2 linked regions of the Coturnix japonica genome follow. The protein of the gene in region 1 binds, or shares a complex with, the protein of each later gene. Links are inferred from orthologs where the notes say so. Each region holds a gene or a part of one and is shown on either strand. Other genes may lie near its edges.

Evidence for each region.
Region 2: the proteins of PRKAA2 (region 1) and PRKAB2 are in contact, whole or in part, in a crystal structure (PDB 6B2E), measured with the Homo sapiens proteins. The link is inferred for Coturnix japonica from reciprocal best matches to the Homo sapiens genes PRKAA2 and PRKAB2. Residues at the interface, in NP_006243.2 of Homo sapiens: Gly9, Arg10, Val11, Lys12, Ile13, Thr21, Asn48, Arg49, Val58, Gln66, Gln81, Val82, Ile83, Ser84, Thr85, Pro86, Thr87, Asp88, Phe89, Met134, Met164, Ser165, Asp166, Gly167, Glu168, Phe169, Leu189, Ala191, Glu194, Pro253; in NP_005390.1 of Homo sapiens: Val60, Ser61, Gln64, Glu67, Asp68, Ser69, Thr73, Gln74, Ala76, Pro78, Thr79, Val80, Ile81, Arg82, Ile106, Ser108, Val113, Ile115, Val155, Ser158, Asp159, Phe160, Glu161, Phe163, Asp164, Lys167, Leu168, Gln191, Met193, Tyr194.

The regions. Positions count from the first base shown.
Region 1 is NC_029523.1:23,038,389-23,046,781, reverse strand, and holds part of PRKAA2 (5'-AMP-activated protein kinase catalytic subunit alpha-2), read right to left. Parts: exon of another isoform or gene 8,198-8,393; intron 3,793-8,197; coding exon 3,651-3,792; intron 1,622-3,650; coding exon 1,528-1,621; intron 92-1,527; coding exon 1-91. UniProt on the Homo sapiens protein: Catalytic subunit of AMP-activated protein kinase (AMPK), an energy sensor protein kinase that plays a key role in regulating cellular energy metabolism.
Region 2 is NC_029523.1:4,165,020-4,173,984, reverse strand, and holds the start of PRKAB2 (5'-AMP-activated protein kinase subunit beta-2), read left to right. Parts: upstream 1-3,060; 5' UTR 3,061-3,135; intron 3,136-3,642; exon of another isoform or gene 3,643-4,281; 5' UTR 4,282-4,297; coding exon 4,298-4,459; intron 4,460-4,785; coding exon 4,786-4,952; intron 4,953-5,856; coding exon 5,857-5,950; intron 5,951-6,149; coding exon 6,150-6,270; intron 6,271-7,588; coding exon 7,589-7,722; intron 7,723-8,006; coding exon 8,007-8,075; intron 8,076-8,500; coding exon 8,501-8,578; 3' UTR 8,579-8,965. Other genes in the region: dimethylaniline monooxygenase [N-oxide-forming] 5-like, read left to right, coding at 287-475, 552-714, 1,017-1,159, 1,299-1,498, 1,572-1,921, 2,252-2,324, 2,399-2,762. UniProt on the Homo sapiens protein: Non-catalytic subunit of AMP-activated protein kinase (AMPK), an energy sensor protein kinase that plays a key role in regulating cellular energy metabolism.

The sequences.
Region 1 (8,393 bases):
TCAGGTCCCTGTGGACAACCATGTGTCGGTGACAATAATCCACTGCAGAGAGAATCTGCTGGAAAAGGCGTCGAGCCTCCGCCTCTTCAACCTACAGATGCAAGGGGAAACAGTTCTGAAGGCATGTGGGGCCAGACAGGGGAGGTTTGCCTTAGCAAGGAGCCAAAAGTGTTCCACGGTGTGGAGATAAAATTAGAGCATGCTTGAGACTGTGCTGGAACCAGGAGCAGCAAATAAAGTAGATTTCCCCCTGGTGAATAGATTTCCCCCTTGTGAGTGAGTGTTTTCAAATGATATAGCCCAGAGTTGACGGTAATGAGGTGAAATTAGAAAATAAATGTGGCTGAGCTGTCAAGGAGAGACTACTAGTGCCACCTATCAGGCACTGGCTTCCCAGTGGGACCATTTCTATTGCACAGCATATGCAGAATCACAGAATTATTATCGTTGGGAAAGACCTCAAAGATGATCTAGCCCAACCATCACCACCATGCCCATTAACCATGTCAAAACACCACAGAGGTTAGCATGGAGAACAGTTCTTCATGGACAAATGGCGAAGGTTGCTTTGGGGGGAAAAAACAAAAGCCAAAAGTGGAATATAGTGATGATACTACAGATAGAAAAACTACATATAAAATGATCAGGAAACTGATTGTTTGGTGGTTTTTTTTTGCCTGTGTGAAAACTAGTTTCTGAATATGGGAGTTCAGATGGAATGCATATTGGTCACTGAAAAGATCCAAAGTGAGCAAGATGAGCTGGAAATAAGAACTCTGTGTAGAAAAGTAAATGGAGTCAACTCCATCTACCAGTGCACTAATCCAAGACAACATATTGAGTTTTTGTAGTATAGAGAAGATACTGGGTTGATATAGAGAAGATCACACTGGGCTGATCCTTCACCTAAAGCATGGTTTTGGATGAACATTTTAGCCCCCTGATTGCTTTCTACCCACAAGAATGTTCTCCAGTCATTTTCTCTATAACCATAATATCATGTTTCATGCACTCAGCCTACTCCTCAGATGGTTTATACCCAGTAGGAACACTGGCATTTGAAAATGCTGCTCAGATAAGCCACATACTTTAAAAAGCCTTCAAAAAGCCTGATGAGGAGCCAAAGGGGAGTCTGGAGGAGGAGAATGACTGGGATGGAGACCACACTGAGTGCTCCCCCGCTCCAATGCCCTGCATGCACATAAATCTGCTGCTGAACCAGGGGGTTGGTTAGGCAACCTATAGCTAAAAACTATAGATATGGTGGTTTTCCAAATGTCTTCACTAAGCAAGACATTACCTTGGATATTTTAGTTTGCATATCGAAATACATCATGGAACACTGAAAAAAAATGGCACACATCTTATGTGCAAGGCAAGTATGAGACTCTCCAGATGGGATTGCTGTGAAGCAGCTTCTATTCTGGGCCTTAACCTTAGTTGTCTTCCCTTTAGCAGCCATTTTACTTCAGAACATAATCCTCTTCCCACACAGGAGTTTGGGGCTGACATGGTACTAGCACTTACACGTCCGTGCTTACAGATGTAATCAAATAATTCACCACCAGATACATATTCCATGACCATGAAGAAGTCCGTTGGTGTGCTGATGACCTGGTACCTTCAAAATCACAAAGAAAAAATATATTAATAAGAAAGGGAAAGGCTTTGAAACAGATTACTAGCTTCTAGTCAACCCTTAACATAAGCACATGGATCTTGTGTTTATAATCATTTTTCATTGCTGAAAAAGCCATCTCTTATTTCAAGGGGCACGTCAGGATAATCTTTCACTTGTCTATGAAAGGATCTCTTTCACAGATTGACCCTTTTGCTTCAATCTTTTAAATAATCCTCTGAAATCTCTGCCAGACAACCCTATTGCATTTAGGACTTTCCTGACATTCAAGTTTCCATTTTGGCTAAGATGCGCAACAACATCTTCAGAAGTCAAAACTTCATTAAAATGGGATTGGGAACTGAGTATGTTTGGTTTACTTCATACTGAAGATATAAAAAAGGAGATCTAGATACTACATGGAGCTACCCTTGGAAAGGCATAGAAACAAAGACAAGCACCCCAAAAGATTAACATCATTCTTCAAACATTAAGCTCCTCTATATTCTAGAATTATAAACGTAAAGGAAAGTAAAAGAGTTGCCTCCTTGATGTGCAGATTTACCCTCCACCTCTGTTAAATGATCCCTGAGTGCTACAAATGCACTTCAGTTTCCCATCCGGCGTAACCCGATGGCAATGATCTGAGGTCAAAGCAGCTGTAGCAATGCATAGCAGCACCAGCTGAGGCTCCCTGTGATTTATTTCAGACATACTGTTTGCTTTTGCTATTTTATTTGTTTATTTTTCACAGCTGATAAATAGGCTTCATTTTCAGAGGTGATCAAGTGAACAGGTGACAGTCCCAGTAAAGATCAATGGGATCAGCTTAACTTTTCTGAAGTGTTTTGCTCTTGGACATCTAAGTTAATAGCACTACCATTTCTTGTATATACACATAAAGTGACGAGACACCACAAGGGTTTAAACAAGAACCTCATGTGCCATAGACTCCCCTTCACCTCTTCATCAGTGTATTTCAGGGCTGCAGTATTTAGAGGAGACTGATCAACTGAATTTAATCTCCAGGCTTTCATGGTTTGTTTGATGAATGTGTGTGCAGACTGCAAGGATGCTGGATGAGCAGCCAGGACTTTTGCTGCCTTTTTTTTGTGAAATAATACCAATCTGTTCTCCAATAAATCCACGGAACTCTGAAGTTACTCTAAAGTCAACAGTTGCTGCATGGTTAGTTATTTAACTTAGGGAGAATTTGTTTTCCCTTTCCTCTAAGTCCCAGGTATTTGCTATATCTCATGCCAGTTTTAAGGCTGACCTAAATGTCAACTTATCCTTGCAGTTACCATTCAACAGCTTTCTTTTATAGAAATGCCAAAGATATTATCGAGTGCCTCATTAATGTGAACTGGCTACACAAACCAGGGATTGAGATGGAATCCCAGAGGCAGGAGTGCAGGTGCTGATTTACAACTTAAATTCAGATTCATCAGAGTAGCAATGTTGAAAACTTAAGTCTGAATAATAAATAAAAATATATATGTTCCTTTAAGCAATGGATAATCAGGCCATGAAAACGTAAATCCTATTGACTTCAGGCCAAGGCTTCACTCTAACAGCCTGCTCATGCTGTTATTCCTCAGGCACGATTCTCCATCACTTCAAGTCATGAGATACTGACCCAACAAAGGAGAATCATAGAGACTCCTCATAAAATCCCAACGCAGGAAAGCACAGATCCTGTCTATGCATCTTTATAATGACTTCTGAATGGAAAAGTGGAAGTTTGGGCAGGTTTAGCAGAGCAAACCTTGGTGAGGCTCATGGTTGGTATAATGGCCCAAACCCCTCAGTAGGAAAAACACCTTCCAGAGTTCCTCAATGTGTGGATTGTGCCCCCATGCAAGTTAACAGGAAGGCATTACAATAGCAGCATTTTGGCTTCAACATGCAAAAACCTGACCACACATCTACCACTCTGTACAACCATAAGACATCTCTTGAAAACAAGTCAACGTGTGAAGTCTCTGCAGATAGAGGAGTAAGCTGAACGCATGGCAGAACATCTACTTACAGCTTGATAATATGAGGGTGCCGGAAGAGTTTCAGGTTTTGAATTTCTCGTTTGATCTTCCCAACCACATCCAGGCTGCGTATTTTCTGTCTGTTCAGGATTTTTACTGCCACTTTGTGCCCTGTCAGCTGGTGTTCGCCAACTAATAGAAAGAGGGCATTGCAAAGTCATTACGCGGAGCAGTTAAGATTCATATTGGAGATTAAAGATACTGAGACAGAAGATTTATAAGCTAAAAAAGGCAATAAAGAGTAGAAATTGGGGTGTTTTAAGTATAGTCTGGATATCAGGACTTTATTTTCCTCACCTTTCCTACAGGTACTCTTTCTATATTTTGTGAGTCCTATTCTATGCAGTGAAAGTGGATTCAAACACCCAATAAGCAGCAGGTTTCCAGGAAGCAAAATGATGCACCATTTCATACAATGCCCCAACCAAAAGTGCAGGAATGAGCGCACAGTGTATAAATGACTTCAAAACTAGATTGGAGATGTCAATACAAGGGAAATCCCAATCCTCAATGTGGCAATTTGGGAAAAAGAATAATTAAATCATAGAATCATAGAACGGCTTGGGTTGGAAGGGACCTTTAAGATCATCCAGTTACAACACTTTGTTTCTCTTTGCTTTACTATTTTCCCATTGCAAAGTAGGAAAAAAAAAAGAAAAGAGGGGACTTATGGCCAAAAAAAAAATGCTTAAGTAGATATGACAGAGTGAGTAAGAGGAGGTGGCCATAACCAAAAGTAATTTGCAAGGATTTAAAGCACAAAAAGGTTATGTTGATCAGAGACAAATATATTTAAATGGTGGGGGAGAACCTCCACTGTAATGCACAGGTTGAGTGCATTAAACCCAATAAACCTTGCCTTAAAACGAGACCATCACACTTCTTTAAAAAAAAAAAAAAAGATATAGGGATTTTCCCTGCCCAGAATAGGACTGCGGGATTTGCATTACTAAAATGAATTTCTATTTATACTTTCTCAAGCATGCTTCTCATTTTGATGACAAGCTGCAGGAACACCACGCTGGAGTGTAACAGCCCCAGCAAATTCTGCTTTAAGAAAAGACACAAACCTCAATGTGTGTTTTTATGCCATGCACTTGGTGCGCTCAGGTGCTACAGGGACAAATGGTGACCACAAGCTAGGAGCAGCACCGCTGTCACTGGTGGAACTGCACTAGTTTAATGGTAGTGCAAAATAAATTCAGATTCTGATCCATTTGCTATCAACAGCCTAAATAAGAAAACTCTCTGTGCGTAGGAAGCAAAATTTATAGTAAAGTTAACAGCAGAAACTGCTGGTAAGCAGATAGTTTACATCTGAACAGGTGCTTGCATCTAAAAGGGTGCTCTGGCCACAAGCTGCCCAGTCTCAGGATCTCCAAATGGGATTTTAAAGAAGGTAACATAGGGATGGCTTCCTAAGACTGCGGAGAAAACCTGCTTGCAGTATTCATTTAGGATCTCTAATTATGAATGCTACCCCCTCACTAATAGCACAGAGCAGAAGCTGTTAACAATTATGAGCAAACTCTGTTATTAGATTATTAGACTCAGTAATTTCAGAGCCTCTAAGGAGCTGATCAGAAGCAATGCATGTAAAACAGGAGGCCGGGGAAGGCAGGAGGCAGCACCAGCACCGCTCAGGGCACGCGAGGTCACTATTATTAGCCGCGAGATAAGACCTGCCAGAGATTCTTTCCTCAGTAAGAGCATCCTAAAAATAAAACACTTTTTACTGCTCTTGAAAATAAAAGCACCACTTTGCATGCCCATTTCATCCCTTCGTAATACTCAAACTACCAGATGAAATGAGAATAAACTAAGCTGTGCCGTTCAGATGCAATTTAGGGATTAGCGGAGGGTTGAAGTAGGCAGATAATTCCTCCTGGGTGGTGGCAGGAGAGCACTGAAAATAGTCAGAGGAGGCATTTTCCCTGGTGATCCTTGGGGAGGGGAGAGAAGGGCAGTGTGGGGAGGCTGTGCTGGAGTAACAGCCTGTATAGCGGCATGGGTGCCAGGGGTGCAGCAACCTGCTCGAGTTTTATAAGGGTCCAAAGCATACAGCCATGCAAGGAATTCTCCCCATCTTGTTGTGCTTTGGCCATCAGCTGCCTTGCAAAGATCTCTCTTTGCTGAGGTGGTCATGGCTATGCAGAGCAGAGGCCAGCAAAGGTAGAACAGGGGGTGTTGGGCAACTTCAGCCATCGTCTCCTAGACTTTGGATTTGTCTGATCTCCCTGGCTGGGAGTGCAATAAGCTGCATTTTGCCAGCTGCCCACAATTCATTTGCTCATGTTCAAGAACTGAAACGCACTAGGGCAATGGGGAAACTGAGGAACAGCAAAGTGGCTTATGGCAGTACTAGGAAGAAGACCTTGATCCTTGCCATTCTTCATTCTGGTCAACTCTTCCTGTCCTTGCAACAGCATAAGCTCTGAAAAAATTGGTATTAAACTCTTAGAAGAAAAAAAAACAAAGGTCATTCCTGGAGTGAATAATTATTGTTTTTAATCCCACTGCCCAACAGTTCATCTTCTTTCCATCCATGACAAACAATGTGCAACTCCGTGAAGGCTTTTCTAGCTCAAGCACACCAATAATTAAAACCAAACAGACTATTTTGTAATCCATCTTTTGCTTACAGTAAGCATTAGATACGGAGATATTCTTGTTCTAGTCCCCAGTGGCTTGTTAAGCCTACTTGAGTGTCTTGAGAGGGGGATGAAAAGACAACATAATTTGCTATGTGGTGGGAGTCCTTTAAGCCCTTTGGGTCTTTGGGGACAACGTTTCCCTTTGCTCACAGTCTCCAACCCAGCACACATTGGTGGGACAAGAAGCACTGGGAGGTCCCATGGGCTTAGCCAGGGCAAACCCAACTTTGCCACATGGAACAGGGAAAGGATGCACATGCTCCTCTGTGCTAATGGCACTGTCCTGTGCTGGTACCCAGGCTGGGCAGTGATGATGTCAGGTGGAGATGAGAAATCCTGCTCCTTCCTTCCCACTCACTGCCTAGATTAAAGCCTGAGGGGAGGAGGGAGGGCTGAGTGGCAGTATTAGAAAAGGGATTTGAGCATGTGTCTTGTCTTCTAGTGACAAGTACTCCAGTCAGCTTCCCCGCAGCTTAGAATCAGCAAACTCAGCTCCATTGGGGCAGGCAGAGGGGATGGATTTGACAGTGACTTGAAAGCACTGAGCATTGAACAGAGCCTGTAAACTCCAAAAACTGGCACCAAAGCAGACGTGGTGTGAGCATCCTTAGCTGTGACTGCATCTGTTTATGCATGGGACTGCCTGCATTACTCCAGAACTGGAGGCTGCTGGAGAAAGAAGGGAAGAGATATAATAGGATGAGTTTCTAACAGGAGACCCTCCATGTTTTATTATTTTTATAAGAGAGGAGAAAAAAGATGAGAGATTTATCCTACAGTAAGCTGAGATAGCCATTGAAGTCCTCTGGCAGATGGCTCAAAACCAAGTATCAGCTCATCCCCACAATGCCTACTGACCATGTCCCTCAGTGTCACATCTACCCTGTGTGTTTGGTGCAGCTCAGGAAGCATGGGCAGCTCAGCTTTTCACAAATGCTTTGCAAGGATTAGAAGAAGTTTAGGAAAGGGAAAGCAAAATCCTTCCCTATCAGCTGTGCTGGTCCTTAGCTTAGCCTGAAGTTACAAATGAAATCAATCCAAAGCATATATTTAGCAATGACATATTTGTTCTGTCCCAGTGCCACTTGCTCAGATGCTGTATCACCTTTCCTTTCCTCTTTCTTTCATCTGTTCAGCCTCTTTCAGTTGATCATCCCTCAGTGCAATGTTTGTCTTTCAGCAACAAATGTATAATGGGAATTGACCCCTACTTGAGGCTGAGTAATGGAGATAAACATAACCCAAGAACTGCTCATGGTGCAATGGCCGTGACTGGGATAGAGCTCTTTGTGGGGTGGGATATGCCTGGTGCACTCACAGCACTGATGTGTCCCACTTGCTCCTTCCCACTTCCAGAGGGAGAGATAACATCCTTTCCCTCATTGTTTCATAGAATCATAGAATGGCTTAGATTGGAAGGGACCTTAAAGATTATCTACTTCTACCTCCCTCTGCCATAGGCTGGTTGCCATCTATTAGATCAGTCTGCCCAGGGCCCCCATCCAACTTGGCCTTGGCCACCTCCAGGGATGGGGCATCTGCAATAAGAAACATGCTGCTGATGGCACCACCAAAACTATCATATACAACAAACACACAGCGTGAAGCAATCAGGAAGAGAAGTCTCCTCTCCCATGTTTCCTGCCAAACATGATGAGCACACCTGAAAGCTCATTAGGTTAAAACAGTGCTATTCTGCATTGCTCCAGTCAAACTCTAACTGGAGTTAAAGGGGGAAAATATACACGTAGAAAAGCTGCTAAGCCACAATGGATGGAGTTTGGAAATCTTTTTATGTTATTTTATATGTCCTTTGGAAGTCTGTTCTTAACCAATTGGGTGATATATGGTGTTGGGGGGGAAGGGGGGGAGATATTCACGCTACTCCTGAAGGGTCCTTAAGGAAATCAGGTTGTTGTTAGCAGGCTTCATTTGGTCTGCAAGAAAAAAGAAATCACCTTTGGGGCACTTTTTGAGGTCTGTTGGTACACAGGAGCGATTTGAATGGTCCTTTCTTTTAGAAGTGTTTATCCTGATAATTCTTTGGTTGGTAAATTCGTGGTTTGGGATTAAACATAG
Region 2 (8,965 bases), about 19 Mb from region 1:
ACCTGGCATGCTCCGCTGCCCTGCCCAGCCTTTGCCATGAGCATGACAACCTGGGAAATGCAGGGGTTGGCATGGGGTTTGGGGCTGCTTGGCTAACATGACACTGGTTTTGCCCAATGGTAGAGCAGAGCCAATGCATGAGAGCCAGAGGCTGAGCTGCTGGGGCAGATACCAGGATCTGGGCTGTCTCAGTCCTGTGGGACTGATAGGATAGTCATAACATAGGTGGGTTTGGGGCTGCCATACATTCCCCTGGCCAGCACTGAGCCATGCCCCATACCTGCAGGAGAAGCCCGAGGAGGGCCGCGCCAGCATCTACCACTCCGTCATCATCAACACTTCCAAGGAGATGATGTGCTTCAGCGACTTCCCCATCCCCGACGACTTCCCCAACTACATGCACCACTCCAAGATCATGGAGTACTTCCGCATGTACGCCCAGCGCTTTGACCTGCTCCGCCACATCCGCTTCAGGGTGAGCACTGGGGGCCGGGGGCAGCACGGGGACAGGACCAACCACAGGGACACTGACATCTGCTCCCCTCACCCAGACCAGTGTGCGTCGCGTGTCCAAGAGCCCTGACTTTGCCACCACGGGCCGCTGGGAGGTGGAGACCGAGAGCGAGGGCAAGCAGCAGTCAGCCATCTTCGACGCCGTGTTGGTGTGCACCGGGCACCACAGCGACGCACACCTCCCGCTGCACGCCTTCCCTGGTACGCTGCCATGTGCCCCTGCCCCAGGGATGCTTTCCTCTTCCCCAAGACTCTTCACAGCTCTATCCCCTCTGGCTGAGCCTTGACCCCCGCCTGTGGTTGCTCCCCTCACGTCAAAAACCCCAAAGCCAAGCAGGGTGCTGAGGGTGGCACCGACCATCTCCCAGGTTGGAGATGCCACCACCTCCCTGGGTACCATCCCTGGGCTGTTCCCACTGGGCTCAGCCTGCTCCCAGAGCCCACACCTAGCTCAAGGAAATGACAGCCACCCCCACCCAGCATGGCCCTGCTCTCTCCTGCAGGACTGGACAAGTTTGAAGGCTGGTACCTGCACAGCCGGGACTACAAGAGCCCACAGGCCTTTGCGGAGAAGCGGGTCATCGTGGTCGGCACCGGGAACTCAGGCATCGACATCGCGGTGGAGCTGAGCCACACAGCCAAGCAGGTGATGTCCCAAGACAACCAGGCTCAGCACGCCCCTGCTCCTTGCTCACAGCCTGTTTTTATTCCTGGACCATGCAGGTCTGTCTGAGTTTGTACCAGCATTGCACTTCACATTAAGTGTCCCTTCTCACTTCTACCAGGTCTTCCTCAGCACCAAGCGTGGGACATGGGTGATGCACCGAGTGGCAGAAGGTGGGTACCCCTTTGACTTCTCTTACATCAATCGCTTCATCCAGCTCCTCCAAAGCCTGCTGCCCCTCTCCGTGAGCAACTTCATGCTGGAGAGGAAACTCAACATGCGCTTTGACCACGCTCTGTATGGTCTGAAGCCAAAACACCGGTGAGTGTTCGTGGCAGAGTTATGGGGGCCTGCCTGCACTCGGTCCTGCATGAGCTCTGTTTGTTCTCACCAGGGTCTTCAACCAGCACCTGACCATCAACGACGACCTGCCCAACCGTGTCATTTCGGGCAGGGTGCGGGTGAAGCCAAACATCAAGGAGTTCACGGAGACATCTGCCATCTTTGAGGATGGCACTAAGGAAAACATCGATGCTGTAGTCTTTGCCACAGGGTACAGCTTCTCCTTCCCCTTCCTTGAGGACTATGTGAAGGTGGTGGAGAATCAGGTCCCCCTCTACAAGTTTATGTTCCCAGTTGACCTGGAGAAGCCGACGCTGGCTTTCATTGGCTACATCCAGCCTCTGGGAGCCATCATGCCCATCTCGGAGATGCAGAGCCGCTGGGCCACCCGTGTCTTTAAGGGTAAGCGAGGCGAGCCGGGAATGCACTTCTCTGGGTATGGCAAGGCCAAATTATTCAGTTGCTGGCATGTGCTCCTCCTTTTATCATCCTTCTATGAAGGGATATAAAACATCACTGCATTTTGCAACAAGTGTTGCACTTTATTTCATCACATACAGCTGGTAATGGATCTCCTCACCTGCAAACCATTTTCTCTCTCTTATTTCTTTGCCCATGCCTCTCTCTTGCCCCATTTGGTGGCCCAAAGGCTTTTCCTGTGGCACAGCAGCCACGCTGGGCGCAGAGGGACACAACTGCTGATAGCACAGCTCTCTGCTTCTCCTTCTGTAGGTCTGCACAAGCTGCCCCCAACCAGCACCATGTTGGCTGACATCACACAAGCCAAGGAGAAAATAGCCAAGCGGTAAGAACCCTGCGGGGCACCAACCTGCCACCACCTCCTCGATGAGCACACACAGAGCCTGTCCCTGCCCACAGGTACGTGGCCAGCCGGCGGCACACCATCCAGGTGGATTACATCCCCTACATGGACGAGCTCGCCTGCCAGCTGGGCGTCAAGCCCAACGTGCCGCTGCTTTTCCTCACTGACCCCAGGCTGGCGCTGGAGGTGCTGCTGGGGCCCTGCACGCCCTACCAGTACCGCCTGCATGGCCCCGGCGCATGGCAGGGTGCGCGGGAGGCCATCCTGACTCAGCAGCAGCGCGTGGAGCACCCGCTGCGGGGCAGGGCCGGGCACGGCCGCTCTGTGCCGCCCTGCAGCTCGGTGCCACACAGCTTCAAGGTCCTCTTCAGCCTCGGACTCATCGTGGCCACGCTCATCTACGTCTCGCTGTCCCCATAGCCCCTAGTGAAGAGGGCTTTGGCCATCCCCTAACTCTGCCTTGGGTTTCGGTGTCGCTGGGAGGGGCACGGGGCACGTTTTCCTCATGAGAAAGGCAATAAAGCTCGTCCTTGTTCTCCATGAAGGCTCAGGCTCTGGGCTGCGCTCATTAACGCCCGCACTGCACAACGCAAACTACTCGCACCAGGCCGCGCTCCCACAGCAAAGATGGCCGCTCTCCCGGAAGCCACACCGCCCTCAAACAAAATGGCTGCCCGGTACCATAGAGAGCAGCGCGGGGGCGGGACAGAGCGCCCCGCAGAGGCTGGCGGTGGAGGCGGCCGCCATTTTGATCGGAGGCGGAGAGCGGGGCGGCGGCGGCGGCGGCGGGCAGGTGGGGCTGCGAGCGGGGCTGCCATGGGGGGCTGCGCTGCCCCCGTGTGCTGTGGGGCCGGGTTGGGTGCTGGGTGTCACGGCGGGGCGGGGGGCCCGGAGCGGACAGGAGGCGGCAGGGGGTGGGGCTGTCAGGGCGGCGGTGCGGGGGGTGACGCTGTGGGCGGTGGTGCGGGTGTCGGTGCCGTTGGTACCGTAACGCCGCGCCCGGTGACACCGCTATGGCCGGCACTGTGCCGGGCGGTGCTGCAGCGGCCCTGCACATCTCATCGTTGCCGTGGGGTGAGCCGTGGGCTCGCTGCCCTCTGAGGGCTTAAGGAATACTCGAGTAATTGCCCCGTAATGGTTTAAAGCCAGGCTTTGGCTGGCGGCCTCACCCGGCCCTCCGCACATAGCTTGATGTTCTAAGCAAATCCGCAGCTGTCACAACGCACCCAGTGAATCAAGGCTGGCTCCCTGCAGAACACAGCCGGCTGCCCCAGCGATGGGCTCAGCCCATGTATCGCCCGGCGCTGGGCAGACACGCAGCCCTGGGGTCGGCTATGAGCGCAGCCTGCTCAGCAGCACAGCCTGCACACACCGTGTTGTTACTCCTTGCCCTGGCCGCACTCCAGCCTGGCCGATTCCACTCCTGCTACTTGCAGCACTGTTGCTGTGCCAGCCGTGAAGCCGTGCTGCTCTGCCCGCAGGCTCACCCACACTCGTTGGGAGCTGTTAACAGCTGCTACTTTCACTCTCCGGCTGTTTTCCTGCTGGCTGTAGCGTTGTGTTCTGTGCAGGCTGACTGTGGGGTTGTGAAAGAGGCTCTGTTAGTGCCGGGAGACAATCTGCCACTCAAGGGTGGCTTTATTTCTCTCATCAGCCCTTCTACTTGTGTAGGATGTGGTCTAACTCACTTTTGTTTTAGGGTATAACAATTACCGGCTTAACTATCACGATGGCTCATAAGGGTATGCCTATAATTAGTTCAGCCTGTCTCGCTTGTTAAATTCCCCTTCGGCTCCCAAACTTGGCATCGGGGAAGAACTTTGGGCCTTTTTTAGGATTGCTGTCACTCTGTGCTGGCAAAAGGCAGCGGGAAGCAGCACCCTGCTCCCTGCTGGAGCCCACGGACATAGGCAACACTGCCTTCTTCCCCCTCTCACAGCGGCTGCTGAGCTGTCATGGGAAACACCACCAGCGAGCGAGTGTCCGGTGAGCGCCATGGCTCCAAGTCCCACCGCTCCGACGGCTCCGGCGCTGCCCATCCCACAAAGGAGCACCCACACAAGATCATGGTGGGCAGCACAGATGACCCCAGTGTTTTCAGCTCCCACGACTCCAAGGTAGGGGGCTGGCTGCTGCCTTTGTTGTCCTCACGTCGGGTGCTGGGTGGTGTCCCATAGGGGGCTGTGCTGGGCTGAGGCTGCTTTCAAGGAGAGGATTTTTGGTTGGGAGCAGCCCTCTGTTTAATTCAAGCTAAATACAGGCAGGGTGGCAGTGTGCCGGGGTACAGCTTTCATAGCAGGAACCACAAGCTGAGCTGCAACACAGGAGAAACATCTCCTGGGATGGATGGGTGGAGCTGCCTGCCCAGCCTGAGGTTACTATTGTCTGCAATGTGCAAATGGAGGTGGAGGGAAATGAAACGGCTCTGGTGTTCTCTGCTCAGATTCCAGGGGACAAGGAGTTTGTTTCATGGCAGCCTGACCTGGAGGAGTCAGTGAAGCCATCCCAGCAGGCTCGGCCCACTGTCATCCGCTGGGCTGATGGAGGCAAAGAGGTCTTCATCTCTGGATCCTTCAACAACTGGAGCACCAAGATCCCGCTCATCAAGAGGTAGCTATACCCCTTGGCTCACCCCGTGTTCTCCTCCATCAGTCGCAGGGAGCGTTTTTCTCAGTGCCATTTGCTGTTCCCTTTGCCCAACCTGGCTTCTCACAGTTCATCATGCCCGAGCTCGAGGTGTGAGCACAAATATGCAGCCAGCATCCTGCCTGGGGGCTGCTGCAGTGGTAGGGAGAAACTGTGAAATGGGACAGGACAGGATGGGCCTCCTTGCTTTCCCAATTACATGCCACACAGCAGCCATCCTGGCAGCAGGGCCCTGCCCAGGTGTGCTGCAGCTCTCTGAAGCTTGGTGGCCCTTCTCCTTGCCTGCTTGTGTTGCTGCTAGAGGGAGTTGTTTGGTTGTCCCTCACCTGTCCTCCTTCCATAGCAGTGTCCTCGTTGTTCTGCAGTACACCTGTGTTTTCTGTGGAAACACTATGTAGGACTGGGCATAATCCCAGCAAATACCTGCCACGGGATTATCTCGACTGCAGACTTCACAGGCACTTCATGCTTTCATCCTGCAGTACCAGCACAGGTTTAGATTCGTTGTTCACTCGCCCTGTCCAGTGTGTCTTGCACTTGCCATCATGTGATCCCACACGATGTGTGGGGCAGGGCTGCAAGCTGAGCTCCTGTTTGCCTTGTGTCCTGATTGGAACAGATGATCTTAGTGTTTTTTTCCAACCCTAATGAGTCTACGATTCTATGGGCCCTGAGGGATCTGAATCATCCTGGGGCTCTGGGCACTCGCACCTGCTCTGGCCATGCCTTGAGTGATGAGCAATCCTAACCCAGCACATGGGTGTTTGGGTCGAGGGGGCAGGCAGTGCATGACAAAGTGCTCTTCTCTGGGACAGCATCCAAAGCATCACTGCAGTAATGGTGTTGTACATCTGTTCTCTCTGCACAGCCACAACGACTTCGTTGCTATCCTGGACCTCCCAGAAGGAGAGCACCAGTACAAGTTTTTTGTGGATGGCCAGTGGGTCCACGACCCATCCGAGGTAACTCTCAAAGCTTTATCACTGCAAGTCTTGACCTCTTTGGGGCCCAAAACATGATGTAAACTCAGTAGAGGGGAAGTAGAAAGGGCAGAGGGGTAATGGCGTAAGAAAGGCAGCTCAGGCTGGGAGAAGCTGGGAAGCATGAGTACACTTCAACTGAGGGTGAACGTAGGAAGCCTCTTACCTTAGTTCTTTCCAGCCCGTGGTCACCAGCCAGATGGGGACGATTAACAATCTGATTCACGTCAAGAAGTCTGACTTTGAGGTGTTCGACGCTTTAAAAGTGGATTCCCTGGAGAGCTCCGAAACCTCAGGTCGGGGTGAGTTTTTGTGGCATTACAGCTTTGCATGTGCTATTTTCCACTTCCTACTCTGAGACTCACTGCTCTGGGGACAAACAGCTCCCCTTAGCAGGGGTGTGGGCCCACACACACAGAGATTAATGTTTGGCAGCATGTCCTGTCCCTGGCCTGAGCAGCTCCTAGCTGAGGCATTGTCTCCAAGGAGGCTGTGCTGGTGTAACCTGTTCTGTGCTAGCATGGTCCCAGAGCAGGGCTGGTGCCTGCCTGCGGCTGAGATGGCCATGTCAGACCAGTGAACACTGGGAACACATCTCTCCTTTCTGTCTGCTCAACTGTGAGTAAGTCATCTGATCTGGGGTAGAAGCCAGGTGAGAGCAGGATCCAGGCTATTTTCAGCAGCTGCTCTTGGTTTTCACACCGAGGCTATTTGTACTATTGCTAGCGCATCAGAAAGCTCTCTCCACTCGTGTTACAGCAGCGGGTTGAGTTACCACACAGATGCTGGCAGTGCTGGCTTGGTGAGTGGTGCTGGCAGGTAGTTCAGTCATGTTTCAGTCCAGGGTGCTCTGAGCACAGCCTGCCTTCCATGCTTTAAGTCCCGTCTCAGATAGAGCCTCAGCTCCAGGCCCTTGCCCAAGCCCAGAAAGAAGCCATCAAGCTTCATCTCCAAGGAGGTGGAACCTTCAGGGTGCTGGCTGTTCCAAAATGAGCAGGTCAGATGTGGATGGGAGATGCGATCTGTCCATCTTACAGTGACCACAAGCTCCTGAGGACCCTCACACAGGCTGAACAGCTTCTGTATCCTCTTTTGGAGCCTCTGTGTCAGGCAGTTGTGCAGATGTACTGCTTGCTGTGCCCCTGCGCCTGCTGCAACGGGTGCTGCTCTGGGGCTGGGTGCTGCTTGGAACAGGGAGGGGGACCCAGCAGTGCTGAGAGTTGTGTGCAGGGGTCCTGGGGTGGATTCCACAGGGTGCCTGTGTTGTGTCGGTGCATGTGCCACCTTACAGGCGTGCTTGGATACACCCACAGCTTGCCTGGCTGCTTGTTCTGCTGAGGAAAGTCTGATCTGTTGCTATATGATACGTGGCTAAGGGGAAACTGAGGTCTGAAGACCCCTCTGAAACAGAACAAGTCACCTTCTATTCCCTAGATGCTGTGGTTTCTAAATATGCTGAGCCTGTACAGCTGCCCCACTACAGGCTGATCCCAGCCTTCTCAGTACCAGTCGCAGACTGGGCTCATGAAACACTTCAATGCCTGAAAGACCCTGCTGGGTTCTTCTCAGCATCCTAGGAGCTGATCAGTGATCGAGCCACCTTATGCCTCTTCCCTTTAGACTTATCAAGTTCACCACCTGGACCTTACGGCCAAGAGATGTATGTGTACCGGCCTGAGGAACGCTTCAAATCCCCTCCCATCCTCCCGCCTCACCTCCTCCAGGTCATCCTCAACAAGGACACCAATATCTCGGTGGGTACCAGCACACAGCTGCATACAGAGAGCAACATAGAGGCCAGAAGGGGATTCCTGTCTGCAAGAAGCCTGCTCAGCCCTTAGCTGGTGCCTGGCCCTTGCTCTTTGTTGAGAAGAGCATTGATTTTTCTCAGTGACCACTCTGCCTTGTGCTGAGCCGAGCTCTGTTCATGTTCTGAACAGCCACCCAGCAGCTCAGATTGTCTGAGATGGCAGCTCCTTGCTTCTCATGCTGGGGGTCAGGGTTCTGCTATTCTCCTCTGACGCTTCTCTTGTCCTAGTGTGACCCGGCCCTGCTGCCCGAACCCAACCACGTCATGCTCAATCACCTCTACGCACTCTCCATCAAGGTAAGGGGAGGCCCCAGCGGCCACGGGCTGGGGGAAGGGGAGTGACTCCCAGAGCTCATAGAATGTGGACGGCCCTGGGGTGGTGATGGTGGCACAGAGGTCCAAGGACTCACCTGGGGATTGCTTGGCTGCCTGGTTAAACGTGGCATGCGCTGGGGTGTAGGTGGTGGTGATGTCCGTACAGCTCCCAGTTCCCTGTAGCTGCCTCCTCACAGCCTGGTGGAGCTGGGCAGCCCCGTGCTCTCCTGTCATAAGCCAGCTCCGTTCCTTGGCTCTTTGTCTTGGGTGGGTGGGTGGTTCTTGGTGGCTGGGCCAGCCCCCCCCAGGCCTATAGAGCGGCAGGGGCCTCTTCCTCCCAGCTGCCTGGGGGTGCCCTATGGCACTGAGCTCCCCACCCACTGCAGCTGATGCTTTGCCTCTCACAGGATGGCGTGATGGTGCTCAGTGCCACACACCGCTACAAGAAGAAGTACGTCACCACGCTGCTGTACAAACCTATCTGAGCCGGGGCCTCGCCCACCCCCCACGCAGGACACGAAATGCCACTTTGTCTGCACACGCTGGGCCACAGGACTGTGTGAGGACTGGCTGCTGGATCCAGCCTCTAACCTGGGGGGGGCTGCAACCCCCAGTGCTGAGCCCAGGCCTGCTGGGGCCGTCCTGCTGTCCCATTATACTGGTGTGGTTTGATTTAACCCTTGGTTTCCGCCCACCTGCAGCTCCCCTTTGGCTTCAGTGAGTCTCTGGGGCTGCTTTGCTGCTCACGGAACAGCTTTTCCTCGCTCCTGACACAGAAAGGGCTTCACTGCTCCTCTGCTCTAGACTGTGATGGCCCTGAGGCTGTCCTGGCACCGTCCACAGCCAGGCCAGCAGCAAAGTGACCTTTTGCT